Schizosaccharomyces pombe: one gene and its partners. The gene in region 2 interacts genetically with the main gene of each other region. Each region holds a gene or a part of one and is shown on either strand. Other genes may lie near its edges.

What was found.
Region 1: mutations in set6 (region 2) and asl1 together harm fitness less than expected from each alone (positive genetic interaction), as found in Schizosaccharomyces pombe (one large-scale study listed by BioGRID).
Region 3: mutations in set6 (region 2) and gmh4 together harm fitness more than expected from each alone (negative genetic interaction), as found in Schizosaccharomyces pombe (one large-scale study listed by BioGRID).
Region 4: mutations in set6 (region 2) and SPOM_SPAC5D6.04 together harm fitness less than expected from each alone (positive genetic interaction), as found in Schizosaccharomyces pombe (one large-scale study listed by BioGRID).

The regions. Positions count from the first base shown.
Region 1 is NC_003424.3:191,421-195,812, forward strand, and holds asl1 (O-glucosyl hydrolase Asl1), read right to left. Parts: upstream 2,631-4,392; 5' UTR 2,469-2,630; coding exon 876-2,468; 3' UTR 508-875; downstream 1-507. Other genes in the region: mevalonate kinase Erg12, read right to left, coding at 2,699-3,838, 4,088-4,162.
Region 2 is NC_003423.3:3,643,259-3,647,586, forward strand, and holds set6 (histone lysine methyltransferase Set6), read right to left. Parts: upstream 2,282-4,328; 5' UTR 2,185-2,281; coding exon 2,106-2,184; exon of another isoform or gene 2,068-2,105; coding exon 1,928-2,067; intron 1,793-1,927; coding exon 560-1,792; 3' UTR 535-559; downstream 1-534. Other genes in the region: rpp201 (ribosomal protein P2), read left to right, coding at 1-239, 303-326; leucine carboxyl methyltransferase Ppm1, read right to left, coding at 2,401-2,682, 2,732-3,000, 3,057-3,180, 3,234-3,491; karyopherin exportin-T Los1, read right to left, coding at 3,887-4,328.
Region 3 is NC_003423.3:1,387,707-1,392,175, reverse strand, and holds gmh4 (alpha-1,2-galactosyltransferase Gmh4), read right to left. Parts: upstream 2,641-4,469; 5' UTR 1,994-2,640; coding exon 1,083-1,993; intron 1,030-1,082; coding exon 954-1,029; 3' UTR 510-953; downstream 1-509. Other genes in the region: SPOM_SPBC8D2.18C (adenosylhomocysteinase), read left to right, coding at 1-509; SPOM_SPBC8D2.16C (uncharacterized protein), read left to right, coding at 3,439-3,564, 3,608-4,429.
Region 4 is NC_003424.3:1,504,588-1,509,208, forward strand, and holds SPOM_SPAC5D6.04 (auxin family transmembrane transporter), read right to left. Parts: upstream 2,989-4,621; 5' UTR 2,585-2,988; coding exon 2,441-2,584; exon of another isoform or gene 2,312-2,440; coding exon 2,181-2,311; exon of another isoform or gene 2,145-2,180; coding exon 2,054-2,144; exon of another isoform or gene 1,997-2,053; coding exon 1,004-1,996; 3' UTR 501-1,003; downstream 1-500. Other genes in the region: mediator complex subunit Med18, read right to left, coding at 25-151.

The DNA of each region.
Region 1 (4,392 bases), on a different chromosome or scaffold from region 2:
TGAGTAGAGTTTCTTTTTATGATTACAGTGAGTAGAGCAGGTTAAGAATCTAGTACTAGATTACTCGGCGTAAGTTAAATCTGCTGCAAAGAACTATGCAAAAAAAAGGTTACTTTAATAAATTTTTCGCAAGAGATTCGAGATAACTTTTTCTTTTAATATCTGCTAATTAAGTTTGTGATGTCTCTTAAATTGCTCATGCTTCTAATATCCTATAGTTCAATAAGCCTTTTCTTGTTCGTGTGTCCAAAGTTGCTAAGACCTCCTTTTGAAAAGAGGCAAACAAGCATGTAAAGAACACCCAGATATCAAACCACCCACAATGGCGCAATGGAGAAATAGTTGTTTTATCATTACAGCAGTCAATTATGCATTTGTTTTCATTTTATAGACGAGACTTTCGCTTATTATTTACCTTTATACTACAGATCATCAACAATGTCAGCAAATAAAGTTAAACGACTTTATCAAGAGTTCCAAAGCTTACAGAAAAGATTACTAATAAAATTTAAAAGACATTTAACGACTGTATTAAATTAAAACACGCAGCATATTCATTGAATACACGCTTTAAAAATTGTGACATCAAACACAATGAACTTCATGGTTGGTAAAATAAACGAATGAATAAATGAAAGATCGATGTAATAAGAAGCACATCTCCTATAAGCATAGTTCAGAAAGCTTAAACAATCTGATAGATGGCAGAGTATTCAAAAAAAAGCGACAAAAACCATGAAACAAAATATCATAAAAAAGAGTTTCAGAGCAAGAAGAAATAAGAGTATTTGACAGTTTAAAGAACGAAAAAAAAGCATAAGAATTACCATTATATCTCACAAGATAATTTCCCATTTTGTGTAAATTTAAGGAGTTCAAGAAATATAAATCTCTCCGACTTCACTTAATCCACCAGAGGAACTGATAAGGGCATTGTTATTACCAACACCGGCTCCGAGTTCGGTAGCAGGAGCAAACCAACTGTAACGCTCAACAGATCCATGTCCATCTAAAAAGCCAAGAGCGCTGGTCATCAAAGTCTTAACTTCATCCAATGAAGGTAAATTGCTATCATCCCAGTTGGTGCAAGCAAATTCAGTAAGCCAAATAGGGAGACCGTAATTGGCGAGAGAGTTAATATAATCTTGCAAATTGCTAAAGTCAATACCATACCAATGGCAAGCAATGAAATCGATCTTACAATCAGAGCATGCGCTCATGAATTCAGAAAGCCAATCTTCACCTACGTTACTGATGGCAGGTGATCCCAAATAACCAATGGCACCAGATTCACGAAGAGGTGTTAAGTATTGAAGATAATAACTAGCTGCAGTAGCTGCATCTATAGGATTTCCAGCAGCGGACAAATCAGGCTCATTAAATCCAATGACGGTAGCACCACCAGTGAAAACAGAAGAAGCTGAAGAAAGGCTATTGGCATCATGTTGGTTGAGAACATATTCAAAAGAGGAACTCAGACCAGATGAATAACTACCCCAGTTGTAATACCAGTTGATGCCCTTATTGACAAAGTTATCAGAGTAACCAAGGTCAGTTCCAGGAATCCAGGCCAAACCGCGCTTGCCAGAAACTGAAGAACTAGTAGGAGATGCTGATGCAGAGCTTGAGGTAGCACTGGAAATAGTACTAGAAGCAGCAACAGAAGTGGCACTAGAGACAACAGAGGAAACGACAGCTGAAGAGGAGGCGGCAGCTGAAGAAACAGCAGGAGTACTAACTCCCTTGTTAGCAGCAGAAACACTGGCACTTGCAACTACAGAAGAAAGAGCAATAGATGATGAGGAAGTGGGGACGTAAGATGTAGCAGAGCCAGCTGATATCTCTGATGAAGAAGCAACTGAAGACGAGACAGGAGCCACATAGGATGAAGTTGACGTAGCAACTTCAGAGCTAGCAGGATAAGAACTAGTAACTTCAGTACTAGAAGCAGAATAAGAGCTAGCAACTTCAGTACTAGAAGCAGGATAAGAAGAGCTAGATTCGGAACTGGTAGCAGGATACGAAGTGAAAAATTCAGAACTAGAAGTGGCAGATGTCTCGGGAGTTGATACAGGGACAGAAGTATTGGACCATACGGGTGCAGTAACGTTGTCCATAGTATATAGAGGAGTACTAACAAAAGTGGCAGGGTAGCTAGTGGCAGAGGAACTAGCAGCAGGGGCACTGGTTGTTACAACCACAGATTCCGTAGAGGTAGTAGGTAAAGCCGTTGAAGCACCATCGTCGGACGACTCGGTAACAGAAGCTAAACCAGTGGAGTAAGAAGTATATGAGGAAGATGAGTTAGCACCAGGAACTGCGGTAACATAAACAGTCTCCAAGATAGTCTCATACACGGTTAAAACGCCATCATCATCACGACGGTGATGGCGATGGTTAGGAGCATAGGGCAAAGCTCCAACGGTCGATAAAAAAGCTAAAGCGACGGTCGCGAAAGTAGTACGCATTTTTTTAGAAAATACTAGATAAAACGCGTCTAATACTAAAAAAAGAAAGAAAAGATGAAATTTGGTATATAGTTGATATATAAAAGAGTGGAAAGGAGTGTTGCTAAAGAACGGACAACGACTCTTATAGACTAGCTTCTACTGTGGTGGTTGGTGAACGACAAGCCGCGTTCATTATCAAGCCACTCATATATATACCAGTTATGAAAATTTGATTATACATAAAAACTTTAAATATAATATTTATTAAATTTGCTGAGTAAATTCAATTTTTTAAAATCAAAGTCAGACTCATATTGAGGGAAAAATGAATCTGAGTCGGTTACCACTGAAACACCAGGTCCACCTAATTGAACATCGTAAATAGAATTTTTATGGGCTAATAGTGATTCTTTACATAACTTAAATTCCTCTTCTTTGCACTCAGGTGTTAATAAAGTAATCGTACAACCTCCACCACCGGCACCTGTAAGCTTCGTCCATCCAATTGACTTAGTGGCTTGTAAAACGCGATCAATGGAATAATGGGATACACCCAAGCATTCTAAGAGTTTTTGATTAAGAACAATAAACTCTCCTAACTTTTTAGCGGAGGAGTTTTTATCGCTCTCCGAAGTCAATGCGAGGACGGCAGACTTTGATATGCCATCGATTGCATCTATTATTGAGTCAATCACAGTTGGTAGTCTTTCCTTCAGTTCAAAAACTCCTTGTACAAGTTTTTTAGTACTTTTTGGTTGTTTGGTATCAGTGATCATAACAGATAAGGTATCTTTAGGCTTTAAGAATTCTTTCATGGCACTCTGATGAGCTGTAGCTTTACGAAAAGCGATAAGTCCTCCATTTGTTGCTACTGCATTATCAATACCACTTGGTGTTCCATGAATACAGCATTCACCTAGAAAAGACCAAGCCTCTATCAACGCAAGTGCTTTGTTGTTTTGAAGAGAATTTGAGCTAGGAGGTTCAATATTACCAAAAGCTAGTAGTAAACTTGTAGCGACAACAACTGATATAGTAGCACTACTACCTAATCCAGCACCCAAAGGTACTTGGGAGCTAATAGTTAAAGTACAACCCTGAGAAGGAGAAGACAAAGACGTGAACAAGTAAAGGGTACAAAGCATTGCTGAGTGAATAAGTCCGTTTTCTTCATTTTTTAATAGCTCTCCTAATCCTTGTAAAAGGTCCAGATTGGGAGATGATGCCGGGTGCTGAACGTTTTCCACTGTTACATGCTGCCAAGGTAGCGATTGAAGATTCCATCGGCGTTCGGTCCCTATATCACTCATCACAATTACTATTTCATTGTTATTAGTCGTCTGTAATTTACAGTAACTCCGTAACGATACAGCTGCAGCTAACGCAGTCTAGAAAGTTAGCATAAAAATTTAAATGATCTCCATATTTTCGCTTTAAAATGGCTTAAGATTAGAATCAAAAATAAGCATGGCTATAGCAGAATGACATTTGCGACGACTGTCAAAGTTAAAAGTGGTGTTCGCTTTGCAAATACTATGTTACAAAGAAATCATATATGCATAACAGAGCTGTATCCAGTACTAGCCTGTTAAAAACTCTCGCTAATGTAATCTGCTTTAAACCTTAGGTAAACTTACAGCTCCATATACAACGGCATGTTCCCCAAACAAAATCGTTTTTCCTGGCGACGAAACAATAAGCGATTTTGACATTTCAGAAATTTTTTTTACGTTCAACTTCAAAACACAGTTAAAATAAGGTGATGGTAAATAGGCGACGAAGGTTGGTTATCGACAGATATCTACGCAAACAGGACAAGGTGATGATGGTATTGGAAGTTGTAGCAAAAGATTGGTATTTTAATTAAAAAGTTACTTTATTTGATTTTGTTTTAAAAGTTCTTTTGTAATAAAAATCGCGATGTTATAGTTTTCATATGCGC
Region 2 (4,328 bases):
AGTCTGTTTTGTCTACTGTCGGTATTGAAGCTGAATCTGAGCGCATTGAAACTTTGATCAACGAGCTTAACGGTAAGGATATCGACGAGCTCATCGCTGCTGGTAACGAGAAGCTTGCTACTGTCCCCACTGGTGGTGCTGCTTCTGCTGCTCCTGCCGCCGCTGCTGGCGGTGCTGCCCCTGCTGCTGAGGAGGCTGCTAAGGAGGAAGCCAAGGAAGAGGAGGAATCTGATGAAGACGTAAGTTAATTTTAGATAAGAAGCATTCTTTGTTTCTCAAAAGCATCTTACTAACAATTTTAGATGGGTTTCGGTCTTTTCGACTAAACCAAATGATCCCTTGTTTTCATTACGCTTTCATAAAAATAAATCGCCGTGTTGGTTTTATTTTACCAATTTTTTTTTAGTGCTCCATTCGTAATAGTATTTTTCGTTTGATAAATGTAATTTTAGCTTACTTTAAATGTTAATGTACCACTGGTGCCCCGTGTTGTTGATTTGAATATAAGAGACTTTACACTTGTAAAGCAAGTCGTTGTTTCGAGAATAATAAATTTTATTTAGTATGTTACTAGGAAGTCTTTACAAGCGGCCCATAATTTTTCTTCAAATGCTTTCAAATTGTTTTGAACATGAAGCATGCAATAGTCTTTACAAACCTCAAATATTTCTTTAATGTCATTTTCCACATTTGAACAAAATGTGGTCGAAGGATGACTTATTCTAACTGCTTGCTGTAGCCTTTGAGCCCTATCTAAAAGCCACAAAACAAAATCATCAAGGGAAATAGAATAGCGGCCCAAAATACAGTGGTGTAACCCTCCAAATGATGGTATATTCTTCAATAAAAATAACGAGTTATTGGTAGGTACAGTCTGCTGAGGTTGAGAGCTGGACGGGAACTCCATCTCCAAAGGTTTGTCATTAGGAAACATTAAATGCTTTACTTCCATAGCCACTTGCTTTCCCAAAAGCAGTAATTGATACTCATCAACCACATGAAGTGCATCCAAAAATTCATCAGCACTACTTTTCAGATATAAAGCGGCAAACGCACCATTGAAATTAGACTCATCAAGCATTCCTAGTTTAATATGATGTAAAAGATTGGACCAAGGAAAAGCGGTTTGTTTCCAACCACAGGACCATAAGTCCCTGGCCATTGCTAAATTTTTCATAAGCGATTTAGAGTTGCGAAGTCGTCCCATCCATTTTGAACCATCTGTTTCTTTTGTAGTGTGGTCGTTCTCACACCTTGGACAATAACAAGAAAAAAAATACTTTTTGAGAAGCTGTTTCTGTCTGATTGACTTTGGAAGTCGAATATCAATGTATGAGATGAAAAGCTGTTCATCTTTCTTAATATCACGTTTAGAAACAAGCTGCACAATTGCACCATCGAAAATTATTTGGCAATTTGGATCACAAGAATGATTTAAGCGACAGAGTATAGTATCTAAACACATACCCAAAGAATCGAAAGACGAAGTTACAAGATTCATAGCATTAACAGCTAGCCTACAGAAAAGTTTTTGAAACAGTTCTGCTTGATAAATTTGGGTATAATGTGAGGCTGCAGAAGCAATTAATTCTGCATCTGACCAACTGGAGGATACAGCTTGAAATTCGTTTTGGTGTCCTTCCATAGGTTCAATGATAGCAGGATTTTTTTGCCATAAGAGATACAATCGTATTAATAACCGACATACAGAAGGTAGTATACCGTTTTGCTTTGACGCTTGTAGTGCTTTGCATTCTAATTTGTGGAAAGGCCAGTCTGCTTTCTGACAACCCTAAAAAGCCTGTTAGTACTAAGTTAAAATGAGTAGTCGCTTTTCACGAACAAATTGAGTTTGTAATTGAAAGCTCGATAAGCAAATTCGCCAGATTGTAAATCTGTTTTACGAAAACATAATAGACTTGTTTACCTTGGAACAGTAATGAATTATTTTACATGCCGCGCAGCGTTGCGTTTTCACCTTCTCTTCCGTGCAAGTCGAGCAAGTGCGCGTCAGATTAGCAGAATCTAAGCTCAAAATATCAACCCTTTTCCGAATAATTATCTTTCCTAAAAGATTTAGTGGTTACTTCGCTTTTTGAGCATACCAATTGGGATATTATCTGTAGCAACGGTTCCTTTTCCAAACTCAGGTAAAATAACAGAGGCAATCAAAGGGGCGTCCATTATCAACAATTGCTATCAGGCTTCAGAGTAAAAATTCAAATCAAACATGAGAAGTGTGCTTCAATGGTTTCGAATACTTATATCTAATGGGTTTCTTGTTGCATAAGTCCGTTTCGACGACGAACATATTAACGAACTGAAAGGTTACATACGTAATTTAAAAAAAAGTATAAAATTGAATTTATCTATAGCAGATGTAAAAGTTATATAATTTGATTAAGTTTTTAAATGAGGAAGTTGCAATATTATCTGATTCCAAAGGTTTTCTGTAGCTGCAAAAGTTAAGCAGTAATGCTTTGCTAACAATTGCCATTCTTCCAACTCATCAAGCATTTCTATGCTCATCGTTCTTTTCTTTTCTTCTATGGGTATCCAGGTTTCTTCAATAGTTAAAAAATCTTCTGCAATTACTTCCGAGTATCCATAATCAAGAAACCTCATCCTTTGCTGCTCAGTTGTCTCATAACAATCGAGTGTTTTAAGAATCACTCCTCTTGCCTAAATTTTGTTAGTTCTTAATCTGTGAAATGATATGCAAGCATCGTACAGAAAGATTAGCCTTCATCATTTTTCCAAAGTTATCCATCCCCTGAATAGGTTCATAAACAACAATGCCAGAAGTTGCAAACATATTTTGAAACCACCGGCATAATGAACTAGCTTCTTCAGGTTCCAAATAACACAAACAACATTCTGACAGAACAATAGTCGGCAAAGAAAAATCTACAAACCCAGGAAATCCTTTATGGACTATTTCTCGAATATCGTAAGAATATATGTCCAAAGAGCCAGAAACTAAAGACCCTCCAGAAATGTCTTTTATGGTCAGCAAATTAATAATTTGTAAGTCAACTTTTCTAAAATTAGCTCACCCACAACATAATCCCCGATGTTTTGCTTTAACGCTTCATGCTTCTCAATTGTTCGAATTTTCCGTATACAATTTGGGTAAAAATCGAATTCAATAAATTTTAAATTTTCAGGTCCGTATTCAGACTTACTGTAGTTAGTAAAGACTGCATTTATCTTTTGTTTTAGCATAAGCATACAATATATCGAAATACTCGAGTATCAGTACCGGCTCCTAGTGAAATAATTTGTTTTTTACCATCAAAAGATTCTATGAATTTTTGAAGAATGTGGTCTATAGACCATGTTCTAACATAGGTTCCTCGATTTATGATAGGAGGTTTATGCGAATTTCGACTAGGACTAAAGAATTTTATAAAAGGATCATGAATATATCCGCTTTTTGTAGCACTCGATCTGCATTTCAAAGCATCCAAATCTGTTTCAGTAATGTCCATTTTAAGAATGCTTAATTCGTAACTTGTTTGGGTATAGTCAATTAATTTTAATAAGAGAAACGATTTTTTTTGTCAGTTTATTTATATTCAAAAAAATAAGACTGATTGATAATAGGCAAGAGAGCAAGAGGTGACGTTTTAAGGAAAGCGTGCACCACCTCAAGAGAACGGACATTCTGAAGCTAAACATCTTTTTATAAATTGAATAATACCGACAGCAGCATAAAACATCTAGACAAAATAATGCTTCCCGTTAGACGAATCTATCAATCTACAGCTCACGATATATTTTACTAGACGTTGCACCACAATGATCCAACAAGTCCGAAATAATCATTTTTATTGAAATGTTTGTATAAACACCCTATGTATAAACCGTGAAAAGCAAAAGCTTCTCATACATTACCACTTTTTAATGCTTGAATAAATTTTTGAAAAAATTGTTTGAATGATCTACTATCCAGATTTGATAAAGCTTGTAAATATTCAGAAGCCATTACGTCCGGAAAGTTGACGGTGGGAAAATACACCGTTACAAGATATGACTTGTATATATCACCTAGCTTTTCAAGTATTATTTTTTGTAATCCAGCCAGTTCCCCTAAAACTACCAAAGACTGACCATCACGGGTGTTAAAATTTGGGTTAACAGGCATTTCAAAACATAATGGTGTCAATGATAAAGTAAAATTTTCGAATCCAGCAATTCCATCCTTACCTCCCCATAAGGAAACCATTTTAGAAACTAAAGCGATAGAACTTTTTTGTGTAGCTGGCTCACCCACCAAGTTTGCAAAATGTAAGATACTGTTAATAAGTGGATCAAAGTAAACCTGA
Region 3 (4,469 bases), 2.3 Mb from region 2:
AGGCTGTTAAGGAAGGTCAAATCTTTGTTACCACCACTGGTTGCCGTGACATTATTCGTGGTGAGCACTTCAACGAAATGAAGGAGGACTCTATCGTTTGTAACATTGGTCATTTTGATGTCGAGATCGATGTCGCTTGGTTGAAGGCTAACGCTAAGGATGTTGTTAACATCAAGCCCCAGGTTGATCGTTATGAATTGAAGAACGGTCGTCATATCATTCTTTTAGCTGATGGTCGTCTCGTTAACCTTGGTTGTGCCACCGGACATCCCTCTTTTGTTATGTCCTGCTCTTTCACTAACCAGGTCCTTGCCCAAATCGCTTTGTGGACCGATAACACCAGCTATCCTCTTGGTGTTCATATGCTTCCCAAGAAGTTGGATGAGGAGGTTGCCCGTCTTCATTTGGGTAAACTCGGTGTCAAACTTACTACTTTGACTTCTGTTCAATCCGACTACTTGGGTATCCCTGTTGACGGTCCTTACAAGGCTGATCACTATCGTTACTAATCTATTCTTATCATTTAGTTTATAGAATTTATTTTGAAGTTATAATTACTTTAAAAATGTTTCAGCCTCTTTTTTTTGCATGAGTGATGTTTCAACAGCATCTATGTCTCTATGTCGCCATGAAATGCATTAATGTTATTCAACTGGGTTTATGTGGATTTCAGGTCAAACATAATAAATGTTTCTTTCTTTGCATAGAATAGCAATTAACGTGCTTTCATTAAGAAGATTTGATGAATATAACATATGAATTGCTTGACTTGTAAACCAATCTGCGATGTATTTCCGTAAACGAAAAACATATCTTCCCTTGATCAAACAAAGGAAATTAAGTATAAATTCATTAAATTAATGTAGGAATATGCAAACCACCGAATTTGAAAGATAGGTTTAGATGAAGATGAGTTACTGGAAATGAAAGTAAGATGCTAAGACAGTACTAACCTACGATTGTTCATCAACCGTTTCTTCCGAAAGCTGCTTTTTAATGGCTGGAAGTTTTCTCTGTTGATAGTAGTTGCTGGAAGTGTTAGTAAAAATACAAGAGACCAAGATGATAAATAGAATACATACTCGAATATACGCTCGCATGCAGCAGCGTTCTCACAGTCCTGAAGAATAACCAAGAAATCACCTTCTTCGTAATTCAAATCGACCGCAGAGTTGGTGTATGAATTTAAAACTTTAGGAGACACAAGTGCAACATGATCCAAGATAGTGTTATGTGCTTCCAATAAGTGGGATAGCGCAGATCGCTCAGCTTGATCAAAACCGGCGGATTTCAACAAAGGTTCATTCCAAGCATCTAAAAGAAATGGCGCAAAGTTGTTATTTTTAATAAGCAAAGAACGCGTACTAATTCCATTATAATCACTGGTGGTAATTACAAATACATCAGATGGATCCATTTTACGGCGTGTACGGATGTAGTTCTTTAATGGATCGATCGGAGAATTAAGAAGCAAATGCTGCGACAGTTTTTCTGGTTTCAAGACCCTATCCTTGAGAGATTCGGAAGGATTCATTATAACAGCCTTTGCATCGAGCAACCATATCCAGCCAGCGTCGGGATACTCAGCCAAAGTTTCCCTCAAAGCTGGGATAATACTCCAAGTACCATAGACACCATACCTCGCTTGAATATCGCGGGCTTTCTTGTGGACTAGGGTATAGCCATGACGCAAGGCATACTCTGTACGATCAGAAAGCACTTTATCCAGGAAGACAGAGCTGGAGTCAGATCTACTTGAATCATAATGGTCGTCAAAACTAACAATCAACATGACTACGGAATCAGGATCTTGTGGAGATGTTTTCGCCTTAGAAACACCTTTGTATGAAGAGGAATGGGCACTGGGAGAACCAATCGAATTGGAATAAACAGGCATTGAAGACTTTAAAGAATAAAAGCCAAAAAGCAATAAAACGATGGCCAAGAGACCTAAACTTTTTCCTCTACGAGAAAATAAACGAAAGTTGAACATCTTGCAGAATACAAAGTAAAAAAGTGCAAAACAAACAGTTTGCGAGAAAAAATGAGTTGGTTATGCGCGTCTATGGAACAAGATAACGGTTTAAAAGAATAAACCTTAGGGGTTTTTTAAATGTGCAAATAATGTAGAAAAGAAGGTAAGAGAATATCTGTAAATCGAGAAGGTATAAATAGAGAAGAGAAAAAAAGGTATAAAGATCTGGGTCGTAAAGAAAATGGAATATATATGGCCCTTTTTTAAATGCAAATAAATGATCCAACGATATATACGCGAGTATATCCGAAAATTAAAACAGTAAAGATGTTACAGAGGGCGTTTTCACTAAGAAATACGAAAAACCGGATAATGAAAGAAACCTTGCGAGAACACAACGCCTAGCTTTCAAAATGAGCCTTTTTGTCAAGCTATATCGGCGATATTTAAAAAAGAGGAAGATTCTACAATTTAAACAACAATAGATTATAGCTTATCCTGACAACAATCCTTTTACACCGTTTCAAAGACTACGAGTCAAGATGGACTGGTTATTGATATTGAATATGATTTTTACAGAAATCAGGATCCACCCAACCACGTACTAAGAGCAGAGAAACGTTGCTTTTATAATTGGCAGCAACTTGGCTGTATTTGTAGTCTGCGTGTTCGACATTCGAAGGATTTTGATTAACGTGTACGATGCATCCTACCTAACGTACTCTAACGTGTTTTTAGATTTTTTTAGTGATATTGAAATTATACTTTAAACTGTTATAGCGTTATACCCGGTGCTACTCATTATATAGCGAAAATCATAAAAGTAAATAGTAAATAGAGTAAGATTGAAGATGAATTGAATCAGAGTCGATGAACTTCTATTGACTTAAAAAATTATGTATGTAATTAATAAAATATCATCTTGTTTTTTCTACTAACAAATTTTTACAGCGGTTATATACAAGCTTCGGCGTGTATAGTTGGTTTATATAAATTGCAAGCAAAGTGTACACCATTTTTTTTATTATTTCCATATAAAGAAAAAAAAAAAAAAAAAAAAAGGGGATTCTATAGCCCTTTGGTATTTACGAAGACTCATTGATAGTTTAAATCGCACTCATTGAATGGCATTAAACACATTTGTTTGTTTGAATTTTTTTCATTGTTTATGAAGTACAGGATTTTTTTTTTTACCTATCAATAAAAGTATTGATATAAAATATCCCTTTACCTTGATCAATACTTCAAAAAAAATTTAAAATTAGTTTAATTATATTAAATGGACGGTTTTTAGCCTGGTAAATGAAATTCATGCCTTTACTCTTCACCAACTTTTTAAGACGTTAAAATTTTTATAAAAAGCCAAATCCTAATATTCTGTTTCCCAAGACAGCAAAAAGTAAATAAAATACTGCTACTTGGGCCATATTATTACTTCTCATTAATTGCTTACAGAAACTGCTATGGAAAAAGAAAGCGAAATACAAAGCTTACCACCAACGAGACGATATACGATATCTTTAGCATTACCTATTTCAAGTCTAAATGTAGCATACAATTTGCAGCTTAAAACGAGTTTTGTCTGGAAGGTTTGAAAGATTCGTTGTTGTCGCGTATTAACTCAAAATATAGATTTCGAGAATAGTTTCTCTATATGGTATTGACGAAATTATTTTGCTAGAGGACCCTGAATATGTGCAAAACACCCAGGTACATACACTTTCCTCTGATGCTTATTTAAAGGATCCCACAAAATTTCTCACGGACTTATTATGCTATTTCGAAACGCCTTTCTTTATGAGGAAGGAATTGTTTCCACTAAATCCACATCTAAAATATACTAGCTGCTTTCCATTACTTCCCCTCAGAAATGACAAGGCTAGCACAGTGAATATTGAATTCCCATACCGAGAGGGAATCGTTACTCATCCATCTCCGCAAGCAAAGAATAAATATATTATAAATGCTGGACTATCTCACAATGTAATCGTTTCCAGCCCCAGCGTCCTTGCTCCTAGAACAAGGGTCACGGTTCGATTAAAAGCGCAGTCTCCAAACGAAGAAGGCCAGCTTCAAGGTGATATCGTGTCTTTTTCAGCTCCACGAGAAAAAGGTGGTCATTATTGGGGTTACAAGGTGCGGTCATGTCTTTCTTCTCAGCTGTGTAAAAGTTCTCCTTACAAAGGTGGATATGACTTTGTTGTTCAAATCAACAGTCAGACTTCAGCTATTACTTCAAAAGAGTTAGAAGCGAGTTTACCAAGTTCGTTTCGGCATGCTGTTCTTGTTTTACAAGACAATGTCGTACAAAAAGAGCTCGTAGACTCCACTGCCAAAAGTATTTCTTTTAACCCATTCCCAGTTTCTTTTCTAAATGATCCCATTCCTGAAGAGATACTTTTGGCGGCCATGACCCGTTTGTCAGATATGTTGCTGATGCATGGACGACGATAAAGCCTAAATACTTACAAAGGTGAAGCTGTCTTTTTCTTAC
Region 4 (4,621 bases), on a different chromosome or scaffold from region 2:
ACATATGCATTTTTCACGACATACCTTTAGGACGGTAAACTACCCAAAACTCCAATATTGTTTTCGGACCATCCAACGTTTTTGATAAAGAATTTACAACTGCTTCAAAACGCCTCGAGGGGACTACTCCTAAAAGATACAGTTCTTGCATAGCATCGCACCTCACCGAAATTGATTTCTTTTATCTCTTAAGCGTCTACTAAAGCTAAGCTACTGATGGTTGTAGAAATAGTGAACAAAATATACAATGCAATGTCAGTAGTAAGGGAAAATTGCTGTTGGAAGCCTAATGAGCAGTGTTTTCAACGCGGTGTAGTTAGCTATGTAACGAACGACCTTAACGATGAAAGAATGAGAATCATTATGAATCGCCATTATGGAACATAGTATTGATCCAATATTTCTTTCACATTTTCTTCGAATTGATACTATTATTGCTTTATTTCCTTTAATAATATTGAGCGCCGTGTTACTTGATTCTTGATTAAATAATCAAACTATAATAGTAAAACAATTCGGTCAACTAATATTTATACCAACATATTTGATTTTTGGGACGTTGTGGTAAACGCCGCATAAAATAAACTTTATATTAGAAAGACGATATAACTTAAGTTGCTATCGAGGTCCAACAAAGCTGAACACTTCAATAACGAATCATTATGAACATGATATCCAAACATTATAGAAATTGAAAATGGAAAGTGATTTCTTATGCATTGTATAAGAGCAAACAGAGTTTAAAAAGAAAACAATAAAAGATTAAAAAAAACTATTTAGCGGTATTAATAATACCAGTTAAACCAATAAAAACATATTAAATGTGAGCTTTTCGAAATGGAAAAAGACCGCCAGGTTAATCAATATCGAGTCACTACGTTTGACCAATTGACTATGTTAAATTAATGTGATAAGTAAACTTTCCGTGTGCTCTCAATTGTTAAAGTATACGCAGAAAACGATATTGTAAAACAAAAATCATCAGACGTTAACGATTTTAACTTTATTTTGTCCATTTCACAACTAAAAGACTAGCAAAGGCTAGCAACAACGAATTAGGAGGAGTAAAGACGGCATAAGACCACCATAAAACTTTGGCACACTCGCGTTCAAATACACCATTCAGTTGGCAGATTTGTGTTAATTGAATGGCGGTTGGGCTTCCCACAAGCAAGAAAATAACAACAACAAAAACAGGATCATCAACAGTACTTATTTCACTGAAGTATGAGAGTAAACTGAAAGCGGGTAATAATGCCAGAGGAACAACTACCATACGGCCAAGAAGACACACAATAATTACTCGAGTATCGTTATTTTTACGGACTTCTTGAGTAGGTTCAGTTTTGGAAATATCAGTAGCAAGACTTGCTCCCAAAACTACCAAAATCATAGGAACAGCAACTTGACCAGCCATTCGAATACCACTGGTGATGCTACCTTCAACGAACGAACCTTCTTCGAAGAAAAAGCGTTGCAGAGGAGGAACAACAGCAATAAATAAGGCGATAAATAAGGAGTATAAAGGAGGGCTGAAGAAATCTAACAGTAAAACAATAAACTTCGAGATCTTCGAAGAGGCTGCTCCAAACCCACCAACTTCTTCGTTAGAGGTTTCAACTTGAACGTTGTCATTTTTGGAAATCGCAGAAGAATCAGTTTGAACAGTTGAGCCCTCATTTGCCTGAACAGAATTTTGAACCCCATCTACATTTGCACTAGAAGCCAACAAATTCTGAATTTCTTCTTCATTAACATCGCTATGTGACCAAGAACGGTTACCGATAGGTAGAGGGTCCTCCGGTTGATTCGGAGAAAGGAGAATACGATAACCATAGGACCAACGAAGAGCTTGACCTAACTGAGAGAAAATAAGCAAATACATAATACCGCGTGAAGCAACCTTATCAGGTGTATCATCGGGAATTTTGTCCCATAGCAAATCCTTTACAGTAGTAGCTAAAGAAGATACCAAGGCCAAAGGTAAGGAATTTGACTAAAGAGTTAGTAAACAAAAACAAACGAACAATATTCTTGCAGGTAAGGTACGTACGTTTTGAAACGTTATGCAGGCAGTGGCGAAATTCCTTTGGCGAGGTGTCAGTCGGAAGAGTTTTGCAAGTAAAAATGATATCAGAATAGAACTGAAAGTTAGCAAAGTGAATGACTTAAATACTTACGCTGCGGAGATGATAACATAAAACACGGGTAAAAGAGAAAGATCAATCAGCATCTTCAAATTCAAACCGTTGCCAACTTTTTCAAATACTAGACAAGGAGTAAAGAAATAAACGTTCAGGCTGGATATTACCTGTGTAAAGTTAGTAAAATACTAGAGAACGCAAAGATAAATGAAGAGAAGAAATTTAATAGTTGAAAATTTATTTCTTTATTTCACTGCTCCATTTTTCTTTAAAACGGGGGGTAAAATGAATCATACCTTCTGAGCATCTCTAGGAAGAAAGCCTTTTTTAGCTAATACATAACCACCCAAAGCGATCACAATAACTTCCAAGTCACTTTCGATAATGGGCCTTAGAAGGCTCCAAACATTAATTTGGCCAAGAGAAGAAAAGAATCCCATAATTTTTCACTAAATGACGGATAAAAAGATTGAATCCTTAAGAAAACTTTTTCACTAGTTAAACCGAATTCCACACAACAACAGGAATCAAATCAAGGAAAAGCAAAAAAAAAAAGAAAAAACCAATAAGGTCGATCAACAGTGAAACCGGTTAAAGTATAACAAGAAAAAAAAGTATTTCCTATAAATAATAGGATAAGATTATTATGCGGTCTATCAACAAAAGCTTCTCAAAAAACAGGAATAAGGAGTAATCACTCTAAAAGTAAATTGATCAAAATGTTCCCAACAAAAGTCAATTCAAATGCCAGAAATTTTCAATCGTCAAAGTCTTTTCTCTGCAAACAGCAGAATGAAAAGGGTAGGTTAAGCTGAAAGGCCTGTTTGTTTTCAAGGTATAGGTTAGAACGACAAAAATTCAAAGCCTCAAAGTCAGTAAACCGCGTGGAGAAACATTGTTACTTAGAATGGCAAACTGACGCATGAAACTGATAGGTAAAAAAAAGATACACAGAAACAATTATTGAGGCTTTATGAAATACTTTCTTTACAAATTAGGGAAAAATAAGATGCTTGTAAGGAGAAATGAAAGAAGAATTCGGCCAATCCATAAATGATCTCTATAACGTAATCAGACTTAGATTTCGTTGTTTTAGGATTTTTAATATTTACGGCAGATCAATTAAAAAAATTACATTAATTTCGAACACCTTCAAGTTTCTCAAAATAAAAAATGAATGTTGATTGATTTTAGTATGGTCGAAAAAAAAAGGGATATACCTACCTGACACTTATTATAGAATCCGTTGAGTCAACTTGTATTCCATTATGAAATTTCTTTTTTATTCGTAACATAATGGTGTTTGTTAAAAATAATATAAAATATTTTAACGTAACGCTATAATTATAAGTTGTGGATAGCAAGGAATTGATACCAATGATAGTATTGTCGAGGATTCACTGTCAAACCATTTTATTTTCTGTTGTTGTAGAAAAATTTAATTGTCCTTAAATTTTCGATCAAACTCGAAAAACTTTTGTTGAAGCTGTACTAAACATCAGATTGGTTTGTGCATGATTGCATTCATTACCGCATAGGTTCGGTTGTGAAATAGCTAAAGCGTTAAATAGCAGAACAATCGTACACAACTTTGTGTAACTTAAATGTGAGTTTTAGCAGAAGATAGCTAGTTTTTATACATTTTCTGCTTTATTGGTTTTGTTTTCTTTATGTCTTCCTTGCAATTTTCTGTTTGTTTTCGAAACATCTGCCGAAGCTCTAACTTTTGCACCTACTGCTCCCAACAATTTTTGCCATCTTTACCAGGTCACATGTTCCTTGCGATGTGGACAGGTTCAATGAAGGTTGGAAGTTTGAAAGCATGTTTGAACATTATAGAAGTATAGACTGGATTCAAAGGGACGAGATTTTATATACAGTAGCAATATTTTAATATGTAACACCGTTTTTCCTGGTTATTTTTATCAAGAGCTTATTGTGTTTGCATGTAAAGATGTATACAGAAGTCCGTAGATAAATTAATACAGTGTTCTATTGTTATGCTTAATTAATTGCTTCCCAAGTATTAAAAATCCTTTGAGAGGTTCCTCTTTTTATCAGTCACGTAACAATTTACGTTAAACCTTCAGTTCTTCATTTGTAGTAAATATTTAATTACAAAAATGGTGAAATTTTTTTAACAATTCTCATGTCGTTAATCAATGAAATGCTTGACAAACAAAATCAGCCAAAAGAAGTGAAATAACTCTGTAGTTAGTAGAATCATAGCACTTAGTCTTGAGAGTTATTATCAATAAATTTTTTATCATATAAATTAAAAAAAAGAAAAGCATGAGGTTTTATTAGTGAGTACAAAAAATTTAACTAATATCAATCAGTTTCTATATTATTTCTTTCCAATTTTTATTTTATTTATTTATTTTTTTTAACTTCACTGCATCCTTACTGTATTGTTAATTACTCCTTTCTTGTTGAAAATAAACGGAAGTAACTGCAGTCATATAAAATTTTGAAGC